2 linked regions of the Lytechinus pictus genome follow. The protein of the gene in region 1 purifies or fractionates together with the protein of each later gene. This does not show direct contact. Links are inferred from orthologs where the notes say so. Each region holds a gene or a part of one and is shown on either strand. Other genes may lie near its edges. The genes, in order: ATP-dependent RNA helicase cgh-1-like and Y-box-binding protein 1-like.

Region 1 (16,873 bases):
CTTCACTATCAAAAGGTCAAAAGGGGGCACTTCTGTTTTAACGGCATTTTTACATTATAAATTTTAATTGTGCCTCTCAAAAGTGGGACACGGGCCGGCTGTGCACCCCCCCCCCCCCCCCCGAATTCGCCAGTGCTTCATTTATTTATTTATTTTGTTTTGAACAAAGACTATAATCGCCTTTGGACACACACACACAATTAATACCGACAAACCGTTGCTGTGTGTGTGTGTTTGCCATTTATTATGCCCGATAGATTCTAAACAGCTCGTCCACGTATTATTCAACATAACAGTCGATCTGATCCGCACCCGTGGTATACACAGTCGTCGGGGTGTAGCGGCGGATCCGGTGCTATCATAATAGGCAGATGCGGTTAGGAACAATATCTGACGGCGGATCGTGCTCCAAGAGTCCAGCGTATTCAGAGCTTCACTGTTAAAAATATTTTAAACAACGCTGTTCACTATGTGAATCGCACAGTAGTTCAAACAGTTTAAACAAGTTTTTAAAATCTTAAACAATAATCATATATAAAAAATGCTTAAATTATTGATAATTAAATATTTGAATTGAAACTTTGTTGTTTAAGATTTTAAACACCTGTTTAAAATGTTTAAACAGTATATATAGGCCTACTGTGCGATTTACATACAGCAAACAGCGTTGTTTAAACTATTTTCAACAGTGTAATTTCATATTGTTCTTGCTATCGATTCTCGATCTGCATGCACACTGTACCCATTTCCTTCGAAATTATATAGGACCTATACCCGGCTTTTATTAACATATTTTAATAGGAAAATAAATAAAAAGAAAATCAAAGCGCAGCAATCCGGCAGAAATGGTTCTGAGTAAACCGAGTAAAGAACGATATCTGCCGTTAAGAACGATACCTGCCCATTACCTCACCTGGGTCGAGTGCAGCACACGGATGACTTTTTTGCTGAAGGAAATACGCCATGGCTGCATGGATTTGAACCCACGACCCTATGTTTCAAAGTCTGGAGACTAATCCACTAGGCCACGAGGCTCCACATCTTACTTAGTAATTGATGCGAGCGCGAAGCGCGAGATGAAAATTTTTTAATCTGACCTAAAATTTTGACATTCTATAAGCACTATTGGTAATCATGAACATGGTGGGTATCTATATAGTTTTATGCGAGTGCGAAGCGCGATCTTAATTTTTTTTTATATTCCGACCCAAAGTTTGACATTATTTTTATGCACTTTATCTAACGATGACTCGTCACCTTATCTATCTCAACATTTTATGCGAGCGTGAAGAGCGAGCTGACATTTTTTCCAACCCAAAGCTGGAAATTCTAAGCATGTTTTGTAACCATGAACAGGATGGGTATCTATTTAAACAATTATTGTGCGAGCGCAGAGCGCTAGCTAAAAATTATATTCTGACCTAAAATGTTGACATAAGCGCTTTCGGTGATCATGAACAGGATGGTCATTTAACTAATTAGCAATTGATGTGAGCGCGAGCTGATTTTTTTTTTATTTTCTACCTGCAAAATTTGGACATCCTAAACACTTTCTGCAGGGGCCGCGGAAGCGGGGGGGGGAGGGGGGCTTCAGCCCCCCTTTTTTCCAAAACCGTGTACAAAAAACGTAAAAATGACCATATGATTGTGATTTTTTGCATGGTCAGCACCCTACCCCAGCTTTTGGCCCCTGTTCTGTAATCATGAATAGGATGGGCATCTAATTAATCGATGCGAGCACGAAGCCGCGAACTAAAATTTTTTTATATTCCGACCCAAAACTTGTGATTCGTTCTAAGCAAATTTTTGGGACCATGAACAGCGGATGAATATCTATCTAAACAATATTATGTGAGCCGAAGCGCGAGCTGAAAATTTTGTATATTCTAAAATTGTAGATTTAAAATTTGGACATTCGAGTATGCATTTTTTAGTAATCTGAAATACGAGTGTAAAGTCCGAGACTTTTGGTTATAGAACTTTGGGGAAAAAATAATGGCACCAAAATTGTGGAACAATCTGCCTCATCAATTCTTCTACATGCATAAAGACTATATGGTATTATGCGTCTCTAAGAACTGCCTATTATTATTATTATTAATCATGAACAGGATGAGTATCTAACAAAACAGCTTATGTGAGCGCGAAGCGCGAGCTGAAAATTTTTGATCTATCGACCCAAAGTTGGACATTTTATTAAAGCATTATCTGACCACGATCGTCACCCTACTAAACAATAATTGATGGCGCCCCTATAGGTCGAACATCAATTCGACGCCCCTCGGTTGAACATCAATTCGGCGCCCCTAGGTCGAACATCAATTCGACGCCCCTCGGTTGAACATCAATTTGGCGCCCCTATAGGTCGAACATCAATTCGACGCCCCTCGGTTGAACATCAATTTGGCGCCCCCCCCCCTCCCCCTATCTCGAACATCGATTGGCGACAGTATAAGTATAACATAAATTCGGCCCCCCCCCCTTCTCTCTTCCTTTTTTTTTCCTTCTCTATATATATCTTTCCGTTTTTTTTTTCTTTTTCTTTTTTTCTTTCCCTCCTTTTTTCCTCCCCTGTTCTTTCCCTCTCTTTTCTTTTTCTTTTTGGCGCCCCCTTTTCGCCTACCGGGGGGGGGGGGGGCGAAGCGTGAGCGGAAAAAATTAACCCAAAAAGGGAGACACTCTATTCATATTTCATAAAACATGAAAAAGGTGGGTAATTGGGTATCTTCCTACGTTAATAATGCGAGCACGAAGCGCGAGTAGAAAATTTTTGATAATCTAATCTGAAACAGGATAATTTCACGCACGTTTTCGCTGCGTATCTCAATATTGTGCTCGTGTTTTAGATGTAGGCATAGAATCTGAGCATTCTACATGGGCCTACATTTCTTTTATTATGAAAATCAGGCGAGCGCGAAGCGCGAGCTAATCTCTTAGTACTTTTGTAAATATTTTTTTCATCAATTTTCCTGCCTTTGTACTTTGTTTTATTATGTTTGTTTCATATATACATGATATAGGCCCCTTTCACAAGCTTTGCTTCTATGCCGGGGCCCAAACCCTATCAAGTCTCTTGTTTGATTGCGGAAAGTGGGGATGTGACCTCCATACTCTAATCAATATTCATGATGACGTGCATATTTAAAATACAATATCTTCGCTATTCAGATTTTGATGAAAAAATTTCAGCATTTTGCTTTGTGACTCGTACGGATATTTCAGCACGGATTATCCCTTTAATTGAATTCCGAGTGTCTGATTTCAAAATATGACGATCGATATCTCCGGAAAACGATAACGCGTGAATTTATCAGAGCACATTAATAAATTCAAGTGACTGATGCATGGGTGTCGATCACGGGGGGGATGGGGGGGGATATATCCCCCCCAATATTTCAAGTGGGGGGTGGTCTGTATTATCATCCCCCCAATAATTTAGGGTAGAAAATTTATTATAATGATGATGATGAAAAAATGAAAAGTTTGATCATGATGATTATAGTGATGATTATAGTATGCCATCAATCAGTTTGTTTCCCTCGCAATTCGTGTATATTGTTATTAAATAAAAACATTCTTTTCTAGGACTTTTAAACAGATGGGTGGAGGTTCAAGATGAAAAAGAATGAAATATTTATGTATATATGATATTTTTTAACACATGACATAAAAGGACCCCGACGAAAAACAACTTTTGTTGATAGAGTGTTCCATCCCACCAGTGGTAATATGATCATATTTTTACAATTTTTTAAAAAATGAAATCAATTAATGGTTTCAGATAGAATAATCGTTCATTTCTCTCTAAAGCGTATCTTCGGATATGAACATCGGATGTTTTTTTTCCCATGATATTCTTGTTATTGTTATGGACTTGAATAACTAAACTTGATTGATTTTTTCTTTATTTTGGCAAAAAGAAATCTCTTTTGAGTTTGGAAAGGGATGACAGTTTTGCATTCTATATGAGCACACTCATGCGGTACGTAAATTTCATTTTAAAACATATATTAGCTGATATTACACACTGATGGTTCAAGAAAATGTTGGAGAAATATCATAACATGACAGTTGAGTTTTGATTGTTTTTATGTTTGTTTTTGTTCCATGCACTTATAAAGCATTTAAAACATGTTAAAATCCAGGGTTAAAATCGTCTAAGGAATGACGGTAAGCCCGATGGCGCACGAGAAGCCACACAGTTTGTAATTTGTGCTAGTCTTAATTTGTCCGAATCTGCATTTTATCATCATGCATTAAGAAGAAAAAAGATATTGCCAGTCGGGTTAGATTTAAGAGAGAAGTTGTATACATCATGTTCAATAAACAGATCACTTTGTACATGGTCCAGACAATTTTTGTCATTATTTCTTTCGTATGAGTTTAGAATAGGCTTACTTGTAACACAAATTGAATTTTCAAAAAAAAATTATATAAGTACAGTACACTGCAACAATGAAAGAATTTCCGAGAAATTACAGTGGCGTAACTACGGGGGGGGGGGGGGCATGGGGGGCACGTGCCCCCCCCCCCATCGGCTGGCAAAAAAAACGGGGAAGAGGAGAAAGGAAGAGAAACGTAGTGGGAATGAAGAAATTATTGTTTATTATAATGTTATATTATAATAATGTTATGTTATAATACATAAGAAACATTTTTTCATAACTTTATTTTGCTCAGGCCTAGATGTCTTCATTGTTCCCGGTACTCGCATTGTCTGTTTAAAGTCAATATACACCAAATATATTTCCTCGCACTTCGACTTATCATTGTTTTATGTAGTGACATATGGTTCTTTTTCATGACTACTTAAAGTGATTGCCCCATTTTAAGGTATTAATATAAAACATTTCCTGTCCGTGCTTACGTTCGCACTAGTAGATTGGTGAGATATGTCTGCTCTTCATGAATTCCTAAAAATCAGTCCTAAAAATGTCCCTTTTTCTGATCTGAATATCAAAAAATTTCAGCTCGCGCTTCGCGCTCGGATCATTTGTTTAGTGAAATACGTATCGTATGGTCTTAGTGAATTCTTACAAACAGGCCTTAGAATGCCTCTCTTCAGGTCTTAATATTCCAAATTTTCAGCTCGCGCTTCGCGCTCGCAATATTTGATGAGAGATGCGTATTATCATGATTACAATGACTGCAAAAAGTGCTTCATGTGTTTAGATGTAGCAAAATCAGCAATTAAGCGCTTTGCACTCGCATTAGATGACTATGGTGAGATATGTATACTCTTAATGGATTCCTAAAATATAGTCCTTAACATGTCCTTGTTTGGGGTCAATATTTACAACAATTTCAGCTCGCACTTCGCGCTTGCATTGTTTGTTTAGCGAGACAGGTATGTATAATTACAAAAATTTGCTTAAAATGTCCTTTTTTGGTCTGCATATCAAAAATTTTCAGCTCGCGCTTCGTGCTCGCATTAATTGAGCAGTGAGATACATATCCGTTTAATGGCACTGTCTTTAAAATGTACCTATTAGGTCAGTATACCTGGCAACTGAGCGCGCTTTGCGCGCTCAGTCACCAAGTGACTCAAAATTATGCTGGTGCCCGGCCCCAATGCCGTGACTCACGGTACACCACTAGCTGCAAGAACACCACTCCCAAATGTCCTAACTTGTGATTTTAGTGGGGGTAATGTTGAAAGATCCCCATCCACAAGAACATTTGTGTCCATCATCCCCCCCCAACCAAGAATACCGATCGACACCCATGGACTGATGTATGATATTGGGCGGGGAAAAGTATAGCGCTATATTTTATAGGACCTAACTTCAATTGGGATTAGGGCCTATAATTATATTCATTTTCATCGATCTTGCTAAATCTTTTTTATTATTTCTTTTATACTTTTTTTCATATAAAAAACAACAAAAACAATTTTTTTAAAGTCAATAGGCATATATATATATTATTTATACACAACCCAAAGATTATAAGGCATTTTCGAACCTTCTTTTACAGTCTGTTGCAGCGGGGGGGGGGGGGGGGGGAATAATAATCCGGCGAATTGACAAAGGACGAGCTGCCCGGATGCCATACACAAAAGAAGAAAACAGTCTACCGGTACCTGTTTTGTCTACGGTACTGCACTGCAGCACTAGCAAATACACTGTGGACAGAATTTCGTATGCGTATACACAGACGGCCATTTTGAACCTTCTTGTATTGTAAGTCGAACAACCCGTCTCTAGAAATCCGTCTTAATCTGTGTTGTTCTGAATATGCTACTTTTGAATGAAATGTTTTTCGAATGATGTGTTTTATACGATTCTGATATGTCACATTTTGGGCATTTTAAGTGTTGGCAAAGTGTATAATTTTGTTTGAGAATATGGGTTTGAGAATTCGGTCGTAGCGTACCAGGTAGTTCATACAGCGTCATAATATAGGCTAAAATTGTAAAATATGAGATTGAAACGTAATGGGATGATTGGAAAAGGACCCGCTGTGCCCTTCCCTGACAAAAACACTTCATCTTGCTTCTATGAAGTTGAAGTGGAATTAATCTTTATTCTCGGGATCTGCTAAAGGTCTTGTAGAGATTGTTGTTAATGTTGAGAATTTGGGACTTTTTATTTTAATTTTATTGATGTGACCTGATCAGACCGGGCAGAGCGAGATATTTTTTCAATTTTTTTTTCTGAAACATTTTTTATTCTAAAATTTCTTCTCACGATGTGAAATTTGCCTCAATTTTTGTTCAATAGGTCAATAATACGGCATGCCAATAATAATACGATTTTTTTAGCTGCAGCCGTCTGTTCTGAGACAGGAGTTTTTAAACATTTTTCATCAGTAGAGGCGCACGGCCAATATGGGAGACTCACTCCAATACTAGGCCTAGGGGAGACAATCTCCCACATTGGAGACTTGCTTTGCAAAAGGACAAAAGAAACAACTCCAACAAAAGCATGATTTTTTCCACCCAAAATTTTGTCTCACTGAGGTCAGAAGCCCATTTGTTTTGTGTGTGATTGACAACAAAAATCCTTATCAAAACAAAAGTAGACGGTGAATTTTTAAAGTAGACGGTGAAAAGGGGTAATTTTTCATGAGGAATCTGCTTATCACATTTTTATTTGCCGCCATTTAATCCTTTTGCAGCAAATGTAAACAAAGGAAATTGGACTCAGATTGTCAGAAACTGGAGACTGTCTCTGAAATTGGATAGGCCTACCCAAATTCTTTACCAAAGTCTCTGATATTTGGAGATAATCTCCCACATTGGAGACAGTCTCCAATATTGGCCATGCGCCTCTACTGTTCATGTAATAAAACTAATATTTTTAAATTTCTCCTCGACCTCGTAGACGTAGTCATACAGACGGCTCGCTATCGTGCAGCCACCATTAGGGGGTTAACAATGCGAAATCCCCCCCCCCCCCCCCCCCCGGCAGTGCTCATCGATTTTTGTCCTTATTTCATAATCATACAAAGAACTGTCAAACCAAAATAAAGATAATTCCGTTTTGGCCTAAAATGCACCAAAACGGGGAAAAATAAACTTAGGAAGTTAGGGCCTAGGCCTATATAAAAGGGGAAAAAACAGTGACTTCGGCTGTCACGCAAATTCACTTCCCTGTTTTATCCGACCTTAATACACAAACATATGGCCATTGAGTCCCTGTACAGATCGAGCTAGAACTTTGGCCTCTGTATTTTGGTGAGTGGAGCCAACGGAGTTCAGCGGAACAGCCAACATAACAGAGACTGAAGCTTTTGGGTCTAGGCCTATATTTTTCTAGGCTTCTAGCCTAAGTTCATGAAGTTTGATTTAAAACTTTTGACTTTTTGTTTGAGCTTCGTCTAAAATCTTCAAAATGTAAAGTTAGACTTTTGCATTGCACGTGCTAAAGTCGATCATATGTCGTGTCAGTGCGTTGGAGAGCTGATGATAAGTGCTGTACCACACGCGATTTTCAATCCGGAAGTTGCAGACTTTCGCTCAGATTACGGCGTACGCTCGGAGCTCCTGGCATGACTGGCCTGTTCGAATGAAGGCAACAATCACAACAACACGGTTGTGACGGAATTGATGTTGACCGTATTTATGTGCAAATTCAATGCAGTTTAGCGTTATCTTTGTTTCTTTTATGAGTTTTCATATGGAAGATGTGATCGTTTATTTGCAAGAAAACTTGGAACTTAACTGTGATTGCTTCATTTTTAGCACATCTCCTTGCGATCCTGTTTCTTAAGTCTGAGCTAAGCCTCTGGAAATGAGTTTTCAAAGGGGATATTGTGACTTTCCTGTGGTGAGTGAATGTGTTTGGTGTGGGTTGTGGTGATTGCCTTCTGGCTTGTGAAATGATACGTATCGTGGCACATGTTGAATAGGGCACGCTACTCATTCAATTTGATCAATTTTATTGGCAAAGTTAGACTGGATGATCATTTGCTGATGTGAGGTAAGCGACCCCAAATTCAACGTGCACCGAGACTCGACCGCCAAACTCAGTCTCACGAGCCAGCTCATTCAATCAACACAAACCTATGGCAGAATCGCAAATTAGATACTTGTCCGCACTTCACATGTGTGCTCTACCGCCACACCCCAAGAAAGTCTTGGTTTCAACTCCAAAATCTGCTCTTGGGCTGTGAAAAGCCAAATTCTATGCCATAAAAATTGCTGAATTTACGTCATTTTTCTAAAGCGCATGGTGGCTTACAGTATGTAGCTCAGCTCAGCTTGCTTGAAGGACAAGTCCACCCCAACAAAAAGTTGATTTTAATAAAAAGAAAAAATCCAACTAACATAACAAGTGCCCGAAATTTCATCAAAATCAGATGTAAAATAAGAAATTATGACATTTTAAAGTTTTGCTTAATTTCACAAAATAGTTGTATGCACATCCTTGTTGGTGTAAATGAGGAGACTCATGACGTCATCCACTCACTATTTCTTTTGTACTTCATTATATGAAATATTCAAATTTTCTCATTGTCAAGTGAAACAGCTATTAATTCCTCACGGAACATGTGGAATTAACATTATTAAATACGATATGGTTCAGTCAAGTTGGTCCTTGTCAAATCTATAAAAAATGAAATATTGTATAATTCAAACAATAAAAAACAAAACAAATACTGAGGGACATCATTGACTGTCTCATTTGCATTTTACTGAGTTGTGCATATCACTGTTTTATGAAAAATAAGCGAAACTTTAAAATGTCATTACTTTCTTATTTTACATCCAATTTTGATGAAATTTTCAGCGTTTTGGTAGTTTGATTTTTCTCTATTTATTCAAATCAACTTTTTTCTGGGGTTGACTTGACCTTTAAATTTAAGAAATGGGGTTGCAAAAAAGTGCTAGAAACAAAATAAAAATAGTGGTTTGATTCTGAGTTTGCAAACAATTTTTGTATCTTCAAGATGCCTTGTAAATCCAAACAAACTACAGAATAAGTCAACAGCATTGAATTCACAGATTCTAAATACACATGTATACCGTAATCAATTCTTCAGGGTTGCCTTCATTCGAAAGGGGTTTTGGGAGTGAATAGCTGCTGCATCTCCGTGCACCGCAATTCAGCTGCTCTTGCACACATTCACTTTTTAACGTGCGATGTGCCATGTCAAATCATGGCCGTTAAAATGAAACGTGGCAATACATCTCAATGCTCGTATTCTGATGGCAGGTTTGATTTAGACCACGGTCTAACTCAGCGAAAATTATGAGTAGCCAAAAATTCTGTTTATATTGTATATTTTGTATGTTTACTATTTTGTTTCCTTTATACTTCAAACTACTTCAGTTATCATTCCCAGACAATAATGGACAATTTGAGTGTCAAATAAGTTTAATGAATTGAATGTGTACTGTTAGGGAGTTGTGCCCCAATTGGCTATCCATAGTTAAACCACAACTTTAAAGCAGGGTTGAATTTAAATATGAGTTCAGAATTCAAGACTGAAGTTGAAAATGAACAATGCAATTAAAAATAGACAATTATATTGGTAGCATGTCAGGTGGTGGTCCAATTTCGTGAACAGGAAATAATGGTTTGGAGAGTAGAAATTAAATGCTAATCATGTGATGTTTATTCACTAAACCCTCCTTTGGTTTATTGAAAGTTTCTGTTCTCTCTATTTCATTTTACAGAGAAGCTGGTTTGATGGCATTCCTGCGATAGTCAGGATAGCGTTTGGACAACTTTACATTCTTTCCTTTGAACTTATGATTCTACCAGATTTATGCAAACGTCATTGAGCTATACACACATGTGAGTGAACGCTGCAAGCTTGAACAGTGATCTATCACCTTTATAGACTCTCCGCACGAGAAGTTCAAAACTTCTGCGGGTCCTTAGCCATTTGTATTGCTGCTTGATTCCTTCCTACCAAGCGGACAATCTGAATTTATAATTCAAATTCCTTGTGACGCCTCTCTGAGAGGCTTCATTGTTTATAGCAGAATATATTATTTGTAAAGGTCGTTTTATATATTAATGTATATTTGTATATTTGCCAAAGATAATTTTTTCCCATTTTGTATGGGCAAAGTTGAATGGCACTAACTTGCCTTTTTTTGTGAACCTGTACTACTACATTTCTGACAAGTTATCTCAGGAATTATCTTATCTTTAACTGAAATGTTCGTATGGACACCTGATGCAATTTTCATTGATGATTATTAAAGAGACGTAATACAAGGAAAGTCTAAAATCACCCATCGATAAGGGTGGAACTTGGAAGAATTTGCAAAAAGGGAGAACAAATACTGTGAAAAAAGACACTGTTTGCCATGGCAACGGCACCACCACAACTCAACCGCATGATGAACAACAATCACGGGGCAAGGAGCCCGAACAGAGGGCAGAACAACGACTCCAGGAGGGGCGATGGTCACCAAGGAAATCACCAAGGGCGGGGAGACAGGAATGGCCCACATCACAGAGACGGCCCAGGAGGTTACCACAGAGACGGGCATTACGGAGGGTACAGGGGAAGCGGGGGCTATGGCGGGAGACAGTATTCAAGACAAAAGGATTTCGAGAGGCCAGCACCAAAAGCAGCTGCACCAGTACCCAAGCCGACACCGATAGACATGGAGTAAGTACTGTTTCACCTACTCTCGTCATTCAGGGATAATTATGGTCGTTGTGTTCGGAACAAACATTTTTTAATTGTTGCTTTATTGGCTAACTTGTACTTTTGGGGAAGGAAGCGTATATGTGGAAATTAACTGTTATTTCACAACAATTTGTGTTTGATTTCGTACAAAAGTACTTGGCCACTGAAATCCAGTTGTTTCAGTGATGGTGTGCTTAGCTGCTATTGCTATCGCTAGCGACACTTCCGAGGGGGGGGGGATGTAAGTTCACATAGAAGGTCTACAAGTTGTTCCTACATATGGGCTATTCCACGGTTACCCACGTTACATTTGGAGACACCTTGACTCATACTTGGAGCTGTAACTCCATTATTATTGATAGGAACTAAACATCTCTTATCACAACATAGTACGCACTCTGACTATCCTTTGTATAAAAACAAAACTTGGGAAATTTCATTATGCTCCTGGCAAATCTTTGAAATGTGTCGGTTACTCATGTTAGATGATTTGGACATAAATGAAATGAAAAGTGGACATAAGTGAAAAGTGTCCTCATACAAGGCTTTTATGAAAGTTGATTATATCCATTTCAAAGAATATATAAAGTATATAAGGGAGACAAATTTGTATATAATTCAAAAAATAAAGAACACATGGTTTTTACTAGGGTGCAGATAAAGTGGTTACTCACGTTACGGTTCAGATGGGCTTTATGTACAAAGACACATTGAGCTCATGTCCACCAACCTATGGAATTGCCCATATGTAAAGTGTAATCCTCCTACTCATGTAATGTAGCTTTTTTTGCAGCTAATTACAAGATTCCAAAGTCAGTTTATCAGGGTAGGAAATAATTTTTACTTTTAATGGCTATCTTTTTTCCACATTGGGGCGATTGCAGATCTTGGGGGGACTCTAAGATAGATTGTCACCCCAAAGCATGCATTTTGGGGGAATTTTAGGGGCAATTTGGGCTGTCATGAGGCTGTAATCGCACGTCGCCCTCATGTATTTTCTATGCTACGGTTTATCAAAGGATGCTGGATCTTCAATAAAAACGTTTATGTGAAGAAGTGTTTCATTTTGTTTCATGTTTTCTAATTATTCATTTCACAGTGATCCAGACTGGAAAGAAAAATTAGCAATCCCAGAAAAGGATAGAAGAATTAGAACAACAGTAAGTATGGGATTTGAAAATGAGAAATTATCTTGTATTTTCAATTTTATTATTATTTTTTTTTGGGGGGGTAATTTTAAAGACGTTTATTTACATGTATATCTTTGAGTAAACAATTTACGTTTTTGTTCAGATAATTCGAATTAGAGGTCTGTCTATTGAATTTCGATAGATAATTTCCACATGTAACTGTAGTAGGGCACCTTACCATTAGTCAAACGTCGAATCTTGAGCTTGATGAATGCACTTAGCATTTATCACAGCAATTTTTTTTTTCAAATCCATTGATTTATCTTTGATTAAATGTGAAGATAGTGATGGAAAGATGCTTTCTTGCAGGAAAGAGGCAGCGCTTACTTTTAATAAGGTTTTTACAAGGGCACTGTAAGGAAGTGTCATTGATTAGTTACCATGATACAAGAAGTTCCATTCATGACGGAGGTACAGTCTCAGGCGATCAGACTGTTACACGTTTTTATGTCAGGTTCTTGATATTGCCATTGATCTGTGTGTTGTATCCTCCAACAGGACGTCACAAATACCAAAGGAAATGAGTTTGAGGATTATTGCCTCTCTCGCCCTCTATTGATGGGCATCTTTGAGAAAGGATGGGAGAAGCCATCGCCGATTCAAGAAGAGAGCATACCGATCGCCTTGACCGGACGGGACATCATGGCTAGGGCCAAGAACGGGACAGGAAAGACTGGTGCTTATACTATACCCCTCCTGGAAAAGACAAACCCAGACAACAATTTCATTCAAGGTCAGTCGATGAATACAAGGAGACCTGTGTCCCATTTCATAAAGACTTGTAACAAATATCTGTAACAAATTTACTATCAGCCAATCAGATGGAAGGAGTTCATTAGCTTTTAACTTCGCTCGACTGGTGACCCTTTCTCGTGCTAAGCATTATATTCCTATGTAGCGGCCTATAGCTCCTAAGAACAGGTCCCCGTCGTACGTAAAGACGCTGAGAACTTGCAAACAATCTCTATGAAATGCCCATCTTCATATATCTAAATTAAAACCATTTCTGCATGTATTTAATAGTTACAAAGTTGTTTTGAATCATGGAATTAAAAGAGCTCTTAGCAAGCACAGTTAAATATATAAAAGCTGTATTATACAAATTATGGTTGTTTATATTATTAAATGAATTCATAGATCTTGATCATAGGAATATTTCACAGTGTTAGTTTGATCTGAAAAGAGAAAGATCAATTGAATTTGCTTATTTCATTAGCTTAGATTTCGAACAGTATATGATTTAAAAAAAGTGATAATGTGCAATAATTTTGTAGCACTTAGTTCAATGTTTCTAAGCACTGCATAAGAACGGCTTCCCTGATCAGGTGGTCAATCATTCAAAGTATCCCTATGCATACATATCTATTCAGTTAAGTGGCAAATGTAGATAAATGCCTTGTCAAACTGACTGATAATTAGTTTATGAAACCAAGCCTACCTGGGGGGTGTTTCACAAAGATTTAAGTATGACTTAGAGTCGCACTTAAATGTCTATTTGCGCGCGGTATAAAAGGCATGACAGCATTGGTCAGATCATGCCAAGAAGACGCGCACTACTGCGTATTGTCCAATAAGATTGCGCGTTGCATATCATGTGCGCATTGGCATTTAAGTGCGACTTAAGTCATACTTAATCTTTGTGAAACACCCCCCTGGATTGCCCCAGTGTTGCTGATCACTGTGTATGTCAGTGATATCAGTGTCAGAGTGGGCATAGAGTAATCCCCTTGTACGTCCTGTTTTCACTGGAAGTCCTGATATTCGGATGAAGGATTGAGAGGGTACAGTTCATGAGATGGCATGATTATACAATGTATGTACGCCTGTTAGTTAAAATATGTGATTTCATGTCCTGGGGCCTGTTTCATAAAGGACTTGCAACTGTTGTAACTTTGCCATTATGGCAGCTACCATGGCAACCTTGATTCTGATTGGCTGCTGAGCCCTGTTACCATGGCAGTTGCCATAATGGCACAGTTACAACAGTTGCAAGTCCTTTATGAAACAGGCCCCTGTACTTGTGCTGGTACTGGGGTTTGAAGCACAGTTTGAATCCAGCTATCACTCGCCATTTACTAATTTCAGAATATGTTCAATCTGTTCCTATCCTACAGCTTTAGTCCTAGTACCAACGAGAGAGCTGGCTCTCCAGACCAGTCAGATCTGTAAGCAGCTATCAAAGCATACAGGACACAATGTCATGGTCACAACGGGTGGTACTAGTCTCAGAGACGACATTCTCAGACTCGAAGATCCTGGTAGGTACAACCTTCCTCTATTTGTTACCCCTATTTTTTTCCTGTAATTGGAGTTGTTATCAAGACCTTAAAGGTCGATGTGACTGACCGTAATCATTTTTCCAGGTGGGCAGCTGAATTTTAAAGAAAATACTTAGCCAAAAAATGTGATTGAATACCAAAGATGATTAAGTATTTTACCTAAGCAAAATACTGAATATGATACTTAACCCTATCTAGGCCGGGGGGGGGGGGGGGGGGCCTCCGAGGCCCCCCCCCCCCCTTCAACGAGTCGCGCAATATTTTCACCGCGCAAATTTTTTTGGCCGCGCTGCTCGCTGACTTTTTACTTTCAAGTCTTGCGCAACTTTTGAGACCAATTTTGTGTCACCCGGGTACGCGGTTCCGAAATTACGCAACGTTATGTAAGTGCATGTCAGACCAAAAATTGCTCAAAAACGTGATTTCGTGTACAAAGTCAATGTAAATTGTGTTTTCAACCAAAAATCATAAATGTATCATTATTTTTTGTTTTGCTGGTCTAAATCTATGTATTTTATGCTGTTTATGATCTTAGAAGAGTTCCCAACGAATTTCATTGAAAAAACAATGAAAAACAAAGGGTCCAAAAAACAATGAAATACATAAGAAATTGCAAAAAACAATATAATACATAAGAAATTGATCTGATATCACAATTTTTTTCATGTAAACTTGCTAAGAACACCACAAAGAGTTTCTATGCCAAAATTTAGAACATTTGGAGCTTTATTTATGAAGTAAGAGGATAAAGTATGATTTTGCATACGAATTACGCATAGATTAGCATAATTACTTAATAACAATTTGCATGAAATAAATTACGATACAATTTTGTAGATTATATCCCAGACAACCTGCATGCCAATTTTCGGCGCGATCACGCGGTCGACGGCCGAGATCTCAAGGGGGGCCTGGGAGGCCCCCCCCCCCCCCCCCCCCCCCCCCGGCCATATTAAATCTCAAAATACCCCGGCCTAGATAGGGTTAAAATTCTGTCTTTAGAATACCTTAAAGGCACTTATGTAAGTTCCTAATCATATGAATGTCATGTTTTATTTTTATTTCACCAGTACACATTGTGATAGCCACTCCTGGGCGTATCCTGGATCTTATGAAGCAAAGCATTGCCAAGATGGACAAGTGCAGTGTGATGGTATTGGACGAGGTATGTTAACCACGGTCCCTATTTCATAAAGACTTGTTATACACACTTTCTATGACAAGTTTATCAGCCAACTGAAATGTATGATTTCAGTAGCTTAAAATTGTCATTGAAATTTTTTTATTATAATAAGTTTCATGAAATAAGCCCCTGGACTGGGTAAGAGAAAACAGATGCAGAAAATTCTGTTTTCAGGCATTGTTTCGTGTTAAAATTTCACTTATCAAAATAGTTCATACAAAAGAAAGGACCAATAAAAAGTTTTTTTTCCAGTCATGCAATGAGATTTAATTTTAAATTGAGATTGATAAGAAAGTGGTTGAATTCTTGAGATAAAAAGTCTTTGTAACTCGCTATATTTTGTGGAGAGAAGGGTATTTAGCCATGAGAAGATTTGGATGAATCCTGCACATTTTCCCATTCGCATAGGAAACTGTGGTGTGAAGAACATTATTAGTGAAAGGTTGAAATAAATTTGAGAATTAAACTGGAAGTTCCAGATGTTTTAAAAATGAGATCATTAAGATTAAGTATATCTAAAGGTGGCAACTTGATGAGTAAATACATACACAGGGCTAGTTTTTTATGTGACCTTGTATTTTTGCATGTTCTGTGTAATGGTTTTTGCCTCCCATCATTTCTCATGCTAGGCTGACAAGTTACTGTCTAAAGACTTCCAGAACATGCTCGATGACATCATCAGTTATCTTCCACAAGACAGACAAATCATGCTCTACTCGGCAACCTTCCCAATCCAAGTAAAAGACTTCATGGTGAGTCTATAGTATTAATATTAGACTTTTATATTGCACTGAATACATTGAAACAATGGCCCGTATTCTGAAGTCAGGTTTAACTTTAACCCTAATTCTCCCGGGAGGGGGGGGGGCATAAAATTGCTCATAAACGTGATTTCATGTACAAATCCAATGCAAATTGTGTATTTAGCCAAAATTCATAAATGTATCATTATTTCTACTTTTACTGATTAAACTTAATTAATTTTGCCTTGTTTATGATCAGAATTAAGTCTGGAACGATTTCCATCGAAAAAACAATAAAAAAACAAAAAGTAAAAAAACAAAGAAATACATTAGAAATTAAAAAAAAAAAAAAATACATAAGAAATCGGTTGTGGTACCCCCCCC
Region 2 (16,199 bases), on another chromosome or scaffold:
TTTCTCTTTTTATTCAAATTTGATGGGGTGGACTTGTCCTTTAATCACAGCAAGACAATTGAATTCCGTTGATGAGGGTATTAGAAACGCAAGAGACGTCTTCTTTTGATTCAAATTTGATGAGATATCTAAAAGTTCGCGCTTTTCTTTTGATTTAGATTTGATGAGATATCTAAAACTTCGCTCCCCCTCCCTGCACCCCCCCCCCCCAGGGAGCGCCCTTCGCGTGCACTTACCGCCACCTCCAAAATTAAATCCTGGCTATAGGCCTAGCTACGCGGTTGGGAGCTATTTTAGTGTTTCAGGTGAAGAATTAAATGTTTGCTTTTGTCATGTTTGTAGTTGTTTTGTTTTGATAACACCGCACTCCAGCTACAAAGTATAGACAGGCCTATACAGCTGGGGGCCTCCAAAGGAAAGGTTATTTGAAAAAAAATTATCAAACAGAGTCGGATCACATGTCCAATACGGGGTATACGGGTCCCCAATCATGCCAATTGTCATGGCGCTTGGCTATAGCTGGATATCACGGGCGTAAATCCGGGGGGGGGGGGGGCTCATGGGGGGGGGGGTATCCCCCACTCTTCGGAGAGGGGGGAGGTGGCATGTACAATCATTCCACCCACTTTTATAGACAGAAACGATATTTTTTCAATCATCAATGATTACATTGTTAATGCGTGGATTCATCTTAAAATGCGATCGAAATGCTTAATTTGCCCAATTTCTCGTGCGGTCGCTCGATTCCCGCGCTCATTCTAATCTTTCCAGAATTTGGCCATGACAAATCCCTACGTTAAATAGCATATATTGATATTGCAAACGGTATCCCAGCATGCATCCTGAGAGTATGGTTCGTCCATGTATGAATTGTATGATACAAAATTAATGACCTTTAAATGGTTGATCACCAATCAAAACATCCTTTGAATACATTGGCGTGAATGCATATGTGTGTGTGTGTGGGGGGGGGGGGTGTAATTACTCTCCTTGTATCTTTGTGGAAGCGGCCGGGGATAATTTGTACAAAAAATATACATGTACCATGTATACAGATATACTCTATACTTCAAGTTAAGTGCACGATGAGTTACTGATGACCGACCAAATCAATACCGTTATAATGAAACACAGATGCAAGTATAAGGGCAGCAATATTTCCCACACACTTTACAATTTACAATCCGTTTATAGGAGATCTAAAATCACACGTTTTATTAATTTCATAACAATCTGATGAATATCTATTTATGAATTTAGTTTCAAATTTTGAATGTTGCATCATTCAAAATCTTTCCTTTCTGCAATATTTTTTCTTTAATTTGCATTATTGTGCTATTTCCAATAGGGCCTACTAGTAATTTTACAAAAAAATCGTAAATTTATAGGATTTTTGTATACCTTTTAAAAACAGACGACACAATGATTTAACAAACCAAACGTAATTATGCAGTAATATGTAACGTAGAAAGTAAATAAGTTCATGGACCTGGGAAGCGGGGGTGCTGAGGCACCCCCAAGATTTTCCCAGGGGGTGCTGCGTGTATTATTTTCCATAGGCAGCACCCCCTGGAATTCTGGTTGGTGTGTCACATGGGAGAAATGTATGGAAAATGACCAACATCTTGTGTTGAAACCATTTTTTTTTTGGCTTATCAAATTTGTTGGCAACAAAACAACCTTCATTGTTTAGTGAAACCTGTTTTGCTTGTCAAATTTACATAGGCGGATCCATGGGCCTAAGGGGCCCGGGACTCCCTATTGGCGGAGCAAAACAAAAAGGGGGAAGGCATTAAAAAAAAAGGAAAGAAGGGAAAAGAGAGGAGAAAATTAGAGGATGAAGAAGAGTGAATAAAAATAAGGTGAGGGGACGATTTAATGAAATAAAAAACCTTTCAAGTCACTATAAAGTTTTCGCTTGCGCTTCGCGTTCGCATTGCATGTTTGATGAGATAGGCCTACATGAGATTCTTCCTCAATAGGCTGATAAAGTGATACGGAGCTTCACATATCAAGTTTGAAGTCAATATACAAAACACATTTTAGCTCCAACATCGAGCTTTCATTATTTTGTTTGATTTATAAATTGATTTTCAAAAAGTGCTCACATTATTGATTTAGGATACCCAATTACCCACTCTTTTCATGATTTACAAAACATAAATAGAGTGACCCATTTTAGGTATAAATCACATTTTTCCCCCGCTCAAGCTTCGCGCTCGCATTGTTTATTTATATCCTATCCTGCGCATGATTATAAAATATGCTTAAAATTTACATTATTTTTAGGTCGGAATTTCATAAATTTTCAGCTCGCGCTTAGCGCTCGCTTTATTTGATTATTGAATATGTATCGCTTTATGGCTAACTAAAACAGTCCTCAACAAGTCTCTCTTCGATCAGTTATATACGGATTTTGTTCATGATCACAAAATTTGCCCAGAATGTTCGATTTTCAGGACAAGATACATGAAATTTCCAAAAGAAATAGCTCGCACTTTTTAAATATGGCTTATTAGATTACCTTGTTTTATAAGAACAAAGCAAATTAGTGACTGTTACGAAGAAACAAACAGAAATCATCTTTGAGTGGCTGATCGGGGAAAATATGGGTGAATTGTTTTTCGCCCCCCCCCCTTATTGGCGAAAGCTGTATCCGCCCCTGAATTTAGGCCTACTTCAGCACCCCCAGCCAAAAAATCGGTCCCAGGGCCCTGAATAAGTAAAATGTAAAACAAAGTAAAATAATTATAATTTGTAAAAATACCAACGAACTATACTAATATCGCGTTTTTACGTTGATTGCAGTCACTAGCGTACCTACGGGGGGGGGGGGGGGGCAGAGGGGGCAGTCTGCCCCCCCCTGACGAGCCACAACCCATGCAAAGGACGTATCCCTGCCCCCCCCCCCTGACGAGCTTGAAGGCCTTTATTGCCCCCCTGACGAGCTGGAAGACCCTTTTTTTTTTTTTTTTTTTTTTTGCTTGTCAATTTTTTTTCTGGTACGAAATCCTTCATTTGTGATTGAAGACCTTTTTTTGTGTGTGTGGTTTTTTTTCTGGTACGAAATCCTTCATTTGTGATTGAAGACCTTTTTTTTTTTGCTTGTCAAATTTTTTTCTGGTACGAAATCCTTCATTTGTGATTGAAGACCTTTCTTTTTTCTTTTTTTTTTTTTGCTTGTCAAATTTTTTGGCGGACGGTTTTGCCCCCCCTGTGAAAAATTCCAGGTACGCCACTGATTGCAGTGCATCCATCGTCGTATTTGTAAATTAACGGCAATTTTCGTGTTAAATGAATGTTAAAATTGTGGGGTTTGTTAACAGTTATCCAGTTTTTAACAGTTCATACTGTTTGTGAGTCCCAGCTGCCAGTAATAATTACTGTTTTTTTTTTTTACAGTTTTATATGAACAGTGCACCTTTTGGGGTTTTTATTCTTCCATGGTCAGCCCTTCTACTCCTGATTTTCAAAACCGTTCCGCGGCCCCTGATTCTGATTTTCGAGGGATGAACACAAAATAGGGCCTATTGCCTCGAATTTGCGAAACCCAGAAAATCTCGAAATTTCAATTTTCCTCCTTCGCTGCTATACAGTAACTCAGCAAGAAATTAAGATTTGAGCAGCAAGATGACTGGCCGTTAAAATATCATATTCCTTGACGTACAGATTGGGGTGCCATGGATTCCCCCAAATTTTTACTGCCCAAAAAAAGAGAAAAGTAAGGAAAAGGAAAGAGTGAAGAGTGAAATAATTATTAATTTATGAATATAATGTCAAATTCTATCACAAAATTTGAGTTTTGTAGTTAAAAATGTCTCAATTTTTGCTCACTCTCTTCTCTCCCTCGCAACTGTTTTTTCTTTTCTGGCCCTCTCAAAATTTTCGGCTCATCGCGCCACTGATCATAACATATAATTTTTATCGCGTGTTCAATTTTCTATTAATTTTTCTCAATCCATCTGTTTCTAACAATTTTGAAAGGAATGTTAACAAAGTCCGGTAAAAACACGATGGTCATCAGGCTTAGAAATCAATACATACCATCATCATGATCATTTTCCCCCCTCCTTATCATCATGATCATACTTGTCATCATGGGCGGAAATCCCAGGGGGGACAGGGGGGACGTGTCCCCCCTACCCAAAATAGTAGGGGGGACACAATATCAAATGTCCCCCCTACTATTTTCGGTTTAATTACGATGGAAAGAAAGAAATTGAAATAAAACATGTATTTTGGACGAAATGACCTTACTTATTGGGTGGTAACCTTTTTTTTTTTTTGCTTGTCAAATTTTCCAGCCCCTGGTCCCCCCCTACCTTTCGAGACAGATTTCCGCCCTTGCTTGTCATGATGTTCGACCGTAAATTATAAATGGGGGGGGGGGCGGGAATGATAACACAGGCCACCCTATATATACCTAAATCAATGGGGGAATATATTCCCCATCACCCCCCCCCCATAAGGGTTAGAATTCAAATTACCATCTCTTCCGAATATTCCTCTTTGTAATCCAGCACTTGGTCAAACTGCCACAGAAATAATATTTTCTTTTTTTTGCTAGAGACGGAGCGAATAATAAAATGGAATATTAAAGGGATTGTCCGGGCTGAAAATATTTATATATAAATAAATAGAGTAAAATTCACAAAGCAAAATGCTGAAACTTCTTTCATCAAAATCGGATAACAAATAACAAAGTTATTGAATTTTAATGTTTATAAATATTTTGTGAAAACAGTTATATGCACATCGTCATGAATATTCATTGGGTGGGCTAATGATGTCACATCCCCACTTTCCTTTTTCTTATGTTATTACATGAAATCATAAATGTTTCATTTTTTTCATACATGTGTTAATAATGTGTCTCCGTTATGATGAAGTAAGTTGTGGCAATAAATAACTAATACACTTAATCAGTTGTCAATCCAATTGTTTTAGCTCTTGGTAGACAATTTTTGAATAAACCTAATTTCATATAATAAAATACAAAAGAACAAGTGGGGATATGACATCATCAGCCCATGCACCTAATGAATATTCATGACGACATGCCTAGAACTGTTTCACCGGAATAATGCAAATCTTTAAGATTCAATAACTTTGTTATTTGTTATCCGATTTTGATCAAATTTTCAGCATTTTGCTTCGTGAAGTTTACTCTATTGAGATAGAAATATCTCCAGCCTGAAAGATCCCTTTAATTTCTCTGGTCAGAACGTGGATATAGTGCTTCAGCACTCTGGATCGCTGGATTGCGACTTTGCACTCCATCTTTCAACCAATATTGAAAGCGACTAAACGGGGGGGGGGGGGGGGGTTCAAGGGAGAATAACCCTCTCGCACGTATCATGGCCTATATCAAGATTTCAAGACCATTTTGCATGTGTATTTTGCTCAGTAAGACTGACTATAGGAACCAATCAGAATTGTTCTTTCAAATTTGCGATTAATCACTATTAACCTCTTTTGTTCCGGGGCCGCTTTTGAACAGGACAGAAACGAGACACTCTCTGAAAATGTCAAACATGTCAAAATCGGACAAGTTTCTACAAAATTATTACACATCTTTTTCCCCACTTATTGTTTTGTATTTTATTGATATGAAATTATATATACAGTATTGTCTTTAAGAAGAAAAATTGCTACTTTAGGGACTTAATTTGTGTAAGAAATAGAGTATAAAAGTCGCGGTTATAGAGAATAATTATAACAACAATTTTATTGGGAATTAATTATAAACATAGTTCTAGTTAAAATTCACTGCGAATGACTAAAATCGTAACTGAATTACATACGCGAAGAGCGCGGCCCTAATCTGGCAAAAGGGTCTATCTGCTCATTCGCCCTCGAAAAACTTTCTGAGATAATCAGCTTTGAAGTTTGAGCATTTAATTTACTTGTAGAATACTTGAGAGTTAATTTTAGCTGGTGGACTCTATTCTATCACTTAGTTTATCTTTGAAAAATTATTTTTAGTCCCTTTTTATTATTTTAATCCCTTTACTTTTCTTGTAAGATCCAATTTAATGCAGATAGACCCTTTTGCCAGATTAATCTCGGGAGCAAAGACAGTGATATTTATCTGGCAAAAGGGTCTATCTGCACATAGACCCTATAAAAATTGGCTGTAATCTGGCAAAAGGGTCTATCTGCACATAGACCTTTTTGCCAGATTAAATGATGGCAGATAATATGTTTATTTTATCAGGCAAACGGGGTGTATCTGCAGATACACCCTGTTGTTAGATATACAGAGGGAAATTGTGATAATTTAACCAGGCAGAAAGGTATATCTGCACGGTTGGTAAACTATTATAATATTGGACAGGCTGCGCAGGACTCTCAACTTCATGGTCTACAACCACTTGGTTTACTATCCATTTTGTCCAAAACCATTTGGTCTACTAGGCGTTTGGTCCATAACCAATTGGTCTACTAGGCATTTGTTACAAAACCATTTGGTCTACTAGGCGTTTGGTCCACAACCATTTGGTCTACTAGGCATTTGTTACAAAACCATTTGGTCTACTAGGCGTTTGGTCCACAACCATTTGGTCTACTAGGCGTTGTTACAAAACTATTTGGTCTAATAGGCGTTTGGTCCACAACCATTTAGTCTACTAGGCGATTGATCCACAAGCATTTGGTCTACTAGGTGTTTGGTCCATAAGCATTTGGTCTACTAGACGTTGTTACAAAACCACTGGTCTACTAGGCGTTTGGTCCACAAGTATTTGGTATACTAGGCGTTTAGTCCACGACCATTCGGTCTACTAGGCGTTTGGTCCACAAGCATTTGGTCTTTTTACTTGGCGTTTGGTCCGTAACTAATTGGTCTAAGTAGGCATTTGGTCCACAGCCATTTGGTCTACCAGGCATTTTACAAAAACCATTTGATCTACTAGGCGTTTATAACTAATTGACTTTGTTCTGAAAGCAATTGGTTGGATGCACAGGGTGTCTTAGCGATTGGAAAATTTAAAACCTAACCCCCCCAACAAAAAAATACATAAATAAATAAATAAGATAATAATAATAATGACACCATCCAAGATTTTACACTTAATTGGGTAGGATATTCTAATCAATTATAAAGTTGGGCATAACAATATTTTTTTTTAAATTTTATCCATCTTATAAGATCTTCATTAGTTATAACCAATTGTATTTTGATTTCTCTTTCTCACACATGCCACAGACTGACGAAGAGTTTTACTTTGCCTTTCATGCATTCTTTAAGAGCTATCTGTTTTCTTCTTAAATCTATGATTTTATTTTTTATATGGCAGTCTAACATTTACCAATTGTGTTTTTTCATTTCTATTTTTTGCCTTTTTCTCCTCTCTCCCTTGCTCTCCTTTACTTTTTCTCTACTCTTCTTCTTTCGTGCTATCCATCCCTTCCTTTCTTAAATCTGTATTCACCTTTTGCAATTTTCTGCGGCATTGCACTTTGACATATAGAAGTAGTGTGGGGAGCTTATTTCAAATATTGCTGGCCCTCAGCGATCTGATCCCCTGAGTCAGGGTTATACAGGCGTAATTACAACTGGCAGGCCAAAGATATTCATTTGAGCAAACCCATTCTAAATTTTTAATTTTGATATTGCTGATTGACAAAAATGAATGAATATGATTGATAATCTTACACTGATTCTAGGGAGGGTAACTTTACTGAACTTGCTTTTCTCAAATTGGGATGATATATCACCACTTTGGAACTATTTTTATACTGGCGGAAGAAGTATTGCCATTTTACTGTCTCAAGCCATGAATTTGATCCTGTCAGGTGTAGTCTTCATAAATGTGTTTTAATAGAACCCTTGTAGGATTATGACATCATTGACATCTGGACTAATGCCTTATATACTTTGGCGCAAGTCAAAATTTCACTGCAAAGAATACCTAGGACCTACTAATAATCATCCAAGCATAAAGGCCTAGGCCTACCACATAAATGTGGTACATGTATCAAGTAAATTCGGGAGAAGATATTCTTTCAGAAATTATGGGCTCATGTTATATTTTTCCTTAAATTGGGTATTTGTGAAGAGTCAAGTTCTTTTTTTTTTTTACTCACACGGTACGTAAAGTAATATTATGCGCGTCATTGCAGAGACGATTTTTTTTTTTCAGTCACTACTTGAACATATTTAGAAAAGAAAACTGCATTCATTGTTTGTTTTTGTCTTAGACATGTTAAATATTAATTGGATATTTTTAACCTTTATTGGGGCCGGGGGCATCATGCCCCGGCCGACCGCTCCCCCCTCTCCCGAACACAGAAAAGCAGAATTTTGAAAATAGAAGAGTTATGGAATTCCGCTTCTATGAGAAACAGGTAAGGGAAACGGATGATACTCCGCCATTTATAATCAAGGAAAGATATATCTAGGGGGCGGGGGCGTTATCAGACAAGTTGTCAGATCCGACAACTTTCCTTGATTTTGATTGGCTGAGAACCGGGGCTGAGAAGTGAGAAGCATTGTTACTATGGTGACTTCATGAAGATAAAACAATAGAGAAAAGGTTATTGATGAAAATGTTGGAAGAGATGGAGTGTTTGATGAAAGGACTTGTCGGATGTTTTATCCGACAGTTACCATAGTAACAGTGCTTTCCAGCCAATCCAAACCAAGAAAATATGTCAGACAGGACTAAAATGTTGATGAAACGCTCGTTGGGCGTGTCTCTTTTCTCTTCCCACAATGCCGCAGTCGAGGTTACGTGCGTTAGCTTTGAGATGTTCTTCCGGTATCTCATCAGCACAAAGAAGACCGTTGTGCGAATGAGACGGAATTTTTCGACCTGAGAAAAACATCATCCAGGAAAATGTCCGAGGGCCAAGAAGACCAGCCCCAGACCAACGAGGCTCCAGAGAAGATCGTTCTGGGTATGTTGATAAAGTTTGGTTGTATTTTGTGAACGGAAATGTGGAGTAATAATTAGTTAAATTTGGGCTTGTTATGAGGAGTCGTTAGTCGTGCAGTCACTTCACACGAAGTCGCGTCACGCTATAGCATGTGCAGTGCATTGCCATTATTGGCATTGCACACGTGCACATGCCTGCGTGGCGTGGCAAATCTCGGAGACTAGGTGAGTCCAAACTCCAAACTTCGCGGATGGTCATTATCTTAAAAACTAGCCAATATCCTTAAAATCTGACATTAACGTGAAGAGCTACCTAATATTACCCTTTGATGTAAGTTTCTTTAGGATGAGTTCAGTATTCATGAAAATATTGACCAAAAAAAATCGGCGTTCAGAAGAAATCTGAAAAATTCTCAACATTCAATTTCAACAAGTATCACGATCATCATTTTGCAAGCAGAATAGCAGATATCATAGCAGATATCAAAAATGTAAGTTTAATGTGGTACTGATTGATTCTATAAGACTATAGCATTTTGGGAAATAGTTCCATATGCACCCCCCACCAAAACAAAAGATTGTTGAGACTTCCGAAGTTCCGGTTCGTTCACTTCAGATTTTTCTATCAGTATCATTTTTTTACTGTTGCTTACATGTACCTTAGTTGGGACTCGAACTCACCTCGTTTGATCTGCAGTCAAGACCTTTCCCGCTATGCTAGCGAGAAGCGCTGATACCGGAAAGGGTATTTTTACGATTATAAGCCGATAAGGTGATAGGTCGACTAGTCTTGACTCGCAGACCCTTTGCTTTAGGCTTTACTGACTAAATAAAGCGATGTCTCTGGACAATGAATTACACGCACAAGATCTCGCTCGAAATTTGACGGAATAAAGCCATATTTTGGTATGTATTTCCACTTCCCCATCATATATGTTCGATATTACTAGGGCTAGATATATTATTCTGAACCTTCTCCATGTTTTTATTTTCAATTTTAGTGGGGGGTGCATATGGAACTCTTACCGCATTTTGCCGTCAGTTTGATAATGATATAAACATCTCAATTTTTGTTTTGAGCTTTTTGTTTAAATCTCCACAAAAACTTTGGTCCACGAAGTTAGGTCACACTTGCTCTTTTTTTTAACAGATTTCCAGCACTGGCAGTGACACTGACAGCGCAGTTGTTGATCGGAATAGAATTTTGAGATCGCGAAACCCCTTGACCTACTTCACATTTTCGTCAGTTTTATAGTAAACAATCTTGCCGCGTATGCCGCTGCCGTCACTTTGATAGCTAATATTTGAATTGGATTTTGATTAAAATTATGAAATTGATGATTTTGTTTGACCGATCGGGCCACCAAGAAAAAAAGTTAGCCTTGGGCTAATTTTTGTAATAACAAAGCGAAGTACCATCAGTTCTGATATGATGGATTAAAATAGTTTGTGCATAGTAGTAGTTACAGGCTGGAAAAAACATTATGCAGCCACACACTGGCAGAGTTACTCTAGGAAAAGAAGAAATTTAATATAGGAAATAACATGATACATATGGTAGAAGAAAAAGGACAGGTAAAATAAAAATTGAAATAAAGAGAGAGAGAGAGATAAATAACTTTACAAGAGAGAGAAAGAGAGAACATATAAGAAAAGGGGGATAGTATTATTAAGTAGGCTAATGCCCCAAAATGGAAATTAGACGTCTAGACCAAGGCCAAGTAAAAAAAGAAAGTAGTTGATCGTCCTCGCGCGCATCTATTTTGGCCGCCGCATGAATTTTTTTACTATTTACTATTTTCAAAAATTGGCTTCCCTTTTTGATTGCAGCATCAATTTTCTTGATATTTACTATTTTTATGGCTGCTGAATAGCGAAAAAATTCACAAGATTGGCAAGCGATTTGCTCTTATGTGCTCTGGGATCTCTCGCAACTTCATAAAACAATTGCAAAGTCCGATATAGCCGTAACTGCAAGAAAAAAAAATTCTGATTTGGTTTTTTATTGGAATTTTGAAGAAACAATCATAAATTAGCAAGAAAATAAAGTTTGCAAACTTGGAAAATATCACAGATTTCTTCATTTTTAGTGCATTTTCGGGGACCCCGCTTCCTGAATCTGAACTAATCCGTCGCGTGCTTTGGAAATAAGGCGCAGATAAATCAATTTTAATGACTTAATTTGTATTTCAGCAGGGTTTTTTGGTGAGTGATAGCACCTGTACTTTGATGTGTGTTGCGGCATGGTTGCAGTGATTGACTGCTGGGTGTGCATGTCTGCTGCAGTGATGTGATTGACTCCTGGCACGACATGTGAATTTGTGAAATGAATTGAATTTTCTGGCGAGTTTTCTAACGTCAGCAGGCAATGCATTGAATATTAAAAAAATATTTCCATTTCAAGTGAGTTATTCATTATCAAGATTGAAGATCATTAATAGGATTCCAGTAAGTGCCAATTCTGTTCAAATTTGATAAACTTCATTCTTCCTTGAGCTATTCAATTTGATGGACAATTGTAAAAATTAGTTAGTAAATAGATCTAACACTAAATATTGAAATAATAAACATGTGAACAATTAACAATTAATTCAATAATCATTTAACATTTGATTAAAAAAAAAAGAATAACAATTTAATAAACAGTATATTGTAAACAAATATACGGCAGCTGGAAACTGCGATGCGAAACCATGCCCAGAGCTGAAAAAGAGATTGGCTCTGGAAAACTGAACAAGGCTTCCATGGTAATAAAATGAACCCCTCAATGCATTTTTTACCCTTACATATATATATTAATATAGAATAATGTTTAAATCATTCACTTGACATGAACATTTTGTTTTACAACAATACAGTACCGGTATACATCAGTAATACATCAATAGATTTTTATTGCAATATACATTTCCATAGATTTCCAATCAATTGTATATATCTATATATATATATTATGCATATAATATGTGTGTGTTTCTACTCATTTATTAATATTGAGCATACATCGATCACATAATTCGAGCTTGACATGGCCTGACAATCATTTGAATAAAAAATAGCAAAAAATAGTAAATAGTAAGGACCTCCCTCATCACTGATGTCAAAAAACGGGCGGAGAAAATGTCTCCTTGTTTTAAAAAAAAATAGAACGATAGCAAATAGTAAGGACCTCATCACTGCTCTCAAAAATCCCGGACGATCAACTACTATCTTTTTTTCTTGGCCTAATAATAATAATAATAACATTTCATTTACCCTGGGTAGCCACTTCAATCATAAGACTTCTCTTCCAGCGGGCCCTGCATAACATAACATGTTATTATTACCCTTCTCCAATCTAAATGCTGAGCGCCAAGCAAGAAGGAAGAAGTCTTTAGTATGACTCGACCGGGGATTGAACCCACGACCTCCCGTTCATGAGGCAGATGCTCTACCACTGCGCCACCATACCCAGTTATAAAGCTTGAATAAGGGAGAAAGAGAAAAGAGAATGGGAAGGAAACAAACTGATCATAGTGTAGTAGGTTTCACGGAACACCATGTATCTTTCTTGAGCGAATGTTGGTCCTAAATATTGTGCCTGTTTTGTATTATAATCATGGTAAATTTGCCATGAAATTGGCCATGCCCAATTACCCATCCCTAAAGTTCTGCCAAATTACCCATTTACTCACAAAAATGTCATAGTACTAGATCTGCAAAAATCACCAATCATTTCCCTATTTGCACATCTTTATCTCTGTCTTAGCCACAAAAGTTTCCGGAACAGTCAAGTGGTTCAACGTCAAGAATGGCTATGGATTTATCAATCGGTAAGGCTCTCTTTGTCATTCATCTATTGTTTAGCTAAGCTTGTAAATGTCAGTTTTGTTAAATGTGAATTTTCTTATAAGGGCTGGATCCAAGATACAAGGGCGGGGGCACCAACATTCTTTTTTTTTTTTGGGGGGGGAGGATGGTTGACAAATTAGTAACATATATCACTGTAGAGTTTGTCACAATTCTGATAAAAATCCACAAAGAAGGAGTTCATCACTTCAGAATCAGATAAAATTTAAACAGAATTACAAACTTCCAATCAGGGGCCTCTTTTTGCTTGATAAGAGGAGGGGGAGTACAAAGGAGGGCACTGCATACCACTGTTATTTGTCTACTGAAATCCATGTTAAACCCCCATTTCACAGAGAACAAGACCGCTGAAAGACCTTTCAAAGACCATGAATTCTGGTTGATCTTTCAGAGGTCTCTCAATGAACCTACAATGGTCTTTGAGGTCTTACACGAGTCCTGACCAGTTTCAGTGGTCTTCGTGGTCTTCATGGGCTCCAAAACTTTTTGTGTAAACGGTTGAAAACAGTCTTACAACGGTCTTACAGGAAAATGGTCTTTCAGAGGTCTTTCAGCAGTCTTTCAGTGGTCTTTCAATGAACTTTCAAAGGTCTTAATAGTCTTTAAATGACCTTTTGGCAGTCTCTCAAGATTTTTGTGGAGATCACTGTTAGACTCATGAGAGATCATTGAAAGATCATTCAAAGATCACTGAAAGACCAGGCAAAGTCCATGAAAATAATTCTGAAAGATCACTTGTTGCATAAAAGATCTCTATAGGACAAGTCTAAGACCAGTAAGACAAGAAATATCCATCAGTCTTTCAGAGTTCTTTGAGGGGTCTTTATGAGTCATTCCCCAGAGATGACAAATTTCAGTGATCTTGAAGACCGCTGTAAGACCTCACCAATTTTAAGTCTTTCAATGGTCTCCGTTCTGTGGAATGGGGGCCTTACAGGTTGAATTTCTGTCCAAAATGATCTGAATTTAGTGAAGATAGTTTTTTTTTGTCATATGTCTTATCTTTTATCTCTCTCTCTTGTACAGAGATGACACAAAGGAAGATGTATTCGTCCATCAAGTGAGTATTTTCTGCTTTTCATCTACAAATGAATGAATTACAGAGGTGTTATTGGGTCAGTTTCACAGTCACTATGGCTCAGCTCTGTGTTACTTGAACAGTTGGTTTGAGATATTATTTTTTCTTTTATGGCTACTCAATCCTATTTTTATTTATCATATTTTTGAAAGACAACAATGATGTGGGGGCTGTTCCAGAAAGCTGTTCGTAAGTTAAGAGTGACTTTAAGAACGGCTGGTGATCCTTTTCCTCGTAAATGATATTCACCATTAAATTATCATTGGTGATTATGTAGCATGTAAGAAAGGTTCACCAGTCGTTCATGAAGTCACTCGTAACTTATGAACAGCTTTATGAAACACCCACCTGAACTAAGCTTGTATTTGATGAGGATATGAATATTAAAAAAAAGAGTGATTTGAGCAAATAATTCAGAAAAATCTGAGGTTTTCTAAATTGTAGTACATTTGAAATAAAATGCAGTCTTTAACATTTAAAATGAGCCTTTGGAACTTCCAATCAGTCAGTTATTGCACATTGATGCATGAACTCTATGAGAGAGGCTGATAAATTTTGTCAAGTTCATTTTAAGAACAGGAAATATATGAAGGTTTCTGCTTTACTTTTATAAATGGGATTTTTAAAAATCGACAATAACTAGACAAGATCTCGGCAGCAATTGGTGATCGGAACTGGCACAGAACACAGGCTTGTCAAAGCACAAGTCACAACAACAATATTAATTGAACAATTCCCTCATATGTTAATGCATTGTGTGTCTCGTGTGAATCTTGTTTGTTTTTACAGTCAGCCATTGTAAGAAACAACCCACGCAAGTACCAGCGAAGTGTTGGTGATGGTGAAGTGGTAGAGTTTGACGTTGTAGAAGGAACCAAGGTAAGAGAGATTACTGCTTCAGTTATAAATTCAACAAAGACACCGTTCTCACTACCTTCCTAAAACTAGTTTACTGGAAACTAGTTGATCATGTAATGAGAATGCTCAAAGCAATCTTGGAAGCTATCTTCCAAACCGGTTCATAAAACCACCTTGCGATGTAGTTTTCAAGATCGCTTTGCCTCGTTAAACTGGTTTTAGCGTAAGTGAAGACACAAACAAGCGATCTTCGCACATTTTGAGCACGCTACTCCGCACACTGTAGAATGTCTACACTGCGGTTTCAAAGTTCGCGTAAAACATGTCACCCCACTGTGAGTGTTCCCGTAGCAACAAGATCGCTTTACGTAAAGTAAAGCAATCTTCCAAACTGGTTTCCTGAACCGGTTTCCAGTAAACTACTTTTAGAAAGTATAATGAGAACGGTGGCATAAATGCCAGTAGTCGTAACAAACTAAAAATGAGCTTGAACAGAATCCAATAATAGTCATCCCAATTGTGTATATGTACTAGGATTACAGAAAAATGAATGTATGCACCAAACAGAGCTGCCAAATAGTACGATTTTGTCGTATTCCATACGATTTTTCACTTAAAATACGACACTAGGATTTTTACAAATAAAATACGATTTTTTGAAAATATAGCTATGGTAAGATCGACATTACAGAAATCCACCTCGGGCAATCATTATTGAAAAATGTTAAGTTTTGGTGGCCCGAATCGAGCAACCAATAATTTTCAAAGTAGCGCAATTTTTCTCCCAATTTTGCACCATTTATCAACTTTATACAGTTCAAATTGCAACCAATTCGTCATGCGCCCTTTTTGTTGATCTACACACAAATACACACACACATGACAGTACATAGGCTTACCGCTCTAGCATACAGTAGCTATTATCCAGCCGGCCGGTTGGCGTGCGTGAGCTTTGCATGAAACCACTGCAGCTACATGTAGCTATCTGTGCGCTATCAGCCTATTCAGACTCGGGGAGCTACGATACGAAATGTTGCTGCTAAGATATCTTCCACAGAACTTTGAAAATCTATTTGCAAGCATTAAAAACAGGAATTTTGACCTCTCTTTTGACTCAAAAAGACCGATTTCCAAATGTATTAGTACACATAAAAACACATAGGTGAGTACATCACAGTCCCATATGTGCATTTGTATGTATGCTGATACTTGGTTTCTTTCGAAGCTGTGTCTTTTCTAGCAAAAAATAAGCAGACAGTTTTTTGTCTCACCTGCATAGCAGAGTGAGACTATAGGCGCCGCTTTTCCGACGGCGGCGGCGACGGCGGCGGTGGCGTCAACACCAAATCTTAACCTGAGGTTAAGTTTTTGAAATGACAGCATAACTTAGAAAGTATATGGACCTAGTTCATGAAACTTATACATAAGGTTAATCAAGTATCACTGAACATCCTGCATGAGTTTCATGTCACATGACCAAGGTCAAAGGTCATTTAGGGTCAATGAACTTTGGCCGAATTGGGGGTATCTGTTGA

The links.
Region 2: the proteins of ATP-dependent RNA helicase cgh-1-like (region 1) and Y-box-binding protein 1-like purify together in Drosophila melanogaster (affinity purification with western blotting; 3 studies listed by BioGRID, with this or other methods). This does not show direct contact. The link is inferred for Lytechinus pictus from reciprocal best matches to the Drosophila melanogaster genes me31B and yps.

The regions. Positions count from the first base shown.
Region 1 is NC_087252.1:4,876,098-4,892,970, reverse strand, and holds the start of ATP-dependent RNA helicase cgh-1-like, read left to right. Parts: upstream 1-5,899; 5' UTR 5,900-6,182; intron 6,183-10,123; 5' UTR 10,124-10,765; coding exon 10,766-11,073; intron 11,074-12,193; coding exon 12,194-12,254; intron 12,255-12,782; coding exon 12,783-13,017; intron 13,018-14,398; coding exon 14,399-14,542; intron 14,543-15,633; coding exon 15,634-15,728; intron 15,729-16,375; coding exon 16,376-16,498; intron 16,499-16,873. UniProt on the Drosophila melanogaster protein: ATP-dependent RNA helicase which is a core component of a variety of ribonucleoprotein complexes (RNPs) that play critical roles in translational repression and mRNA decapping during embryogenesis, oogenesis, neurogenesis and neurotransmission.
Region 2 is NC_087258.1:26,260,041-26,276,239, reverse strand, and holds the start of Y-box-binding protein 1-like, read left to right. Parts: upstream 1-8,715; 5' UTR 8,716-8,840; coding exon 8,841-8,901; intron 8,902-12,627; coding exon 12,628-12,691; intron 12,692-13,754; coding exon 13,755-13,788; intron 13,789-14,595; coding exon 14,596-14,685; intron 14,686-16,199.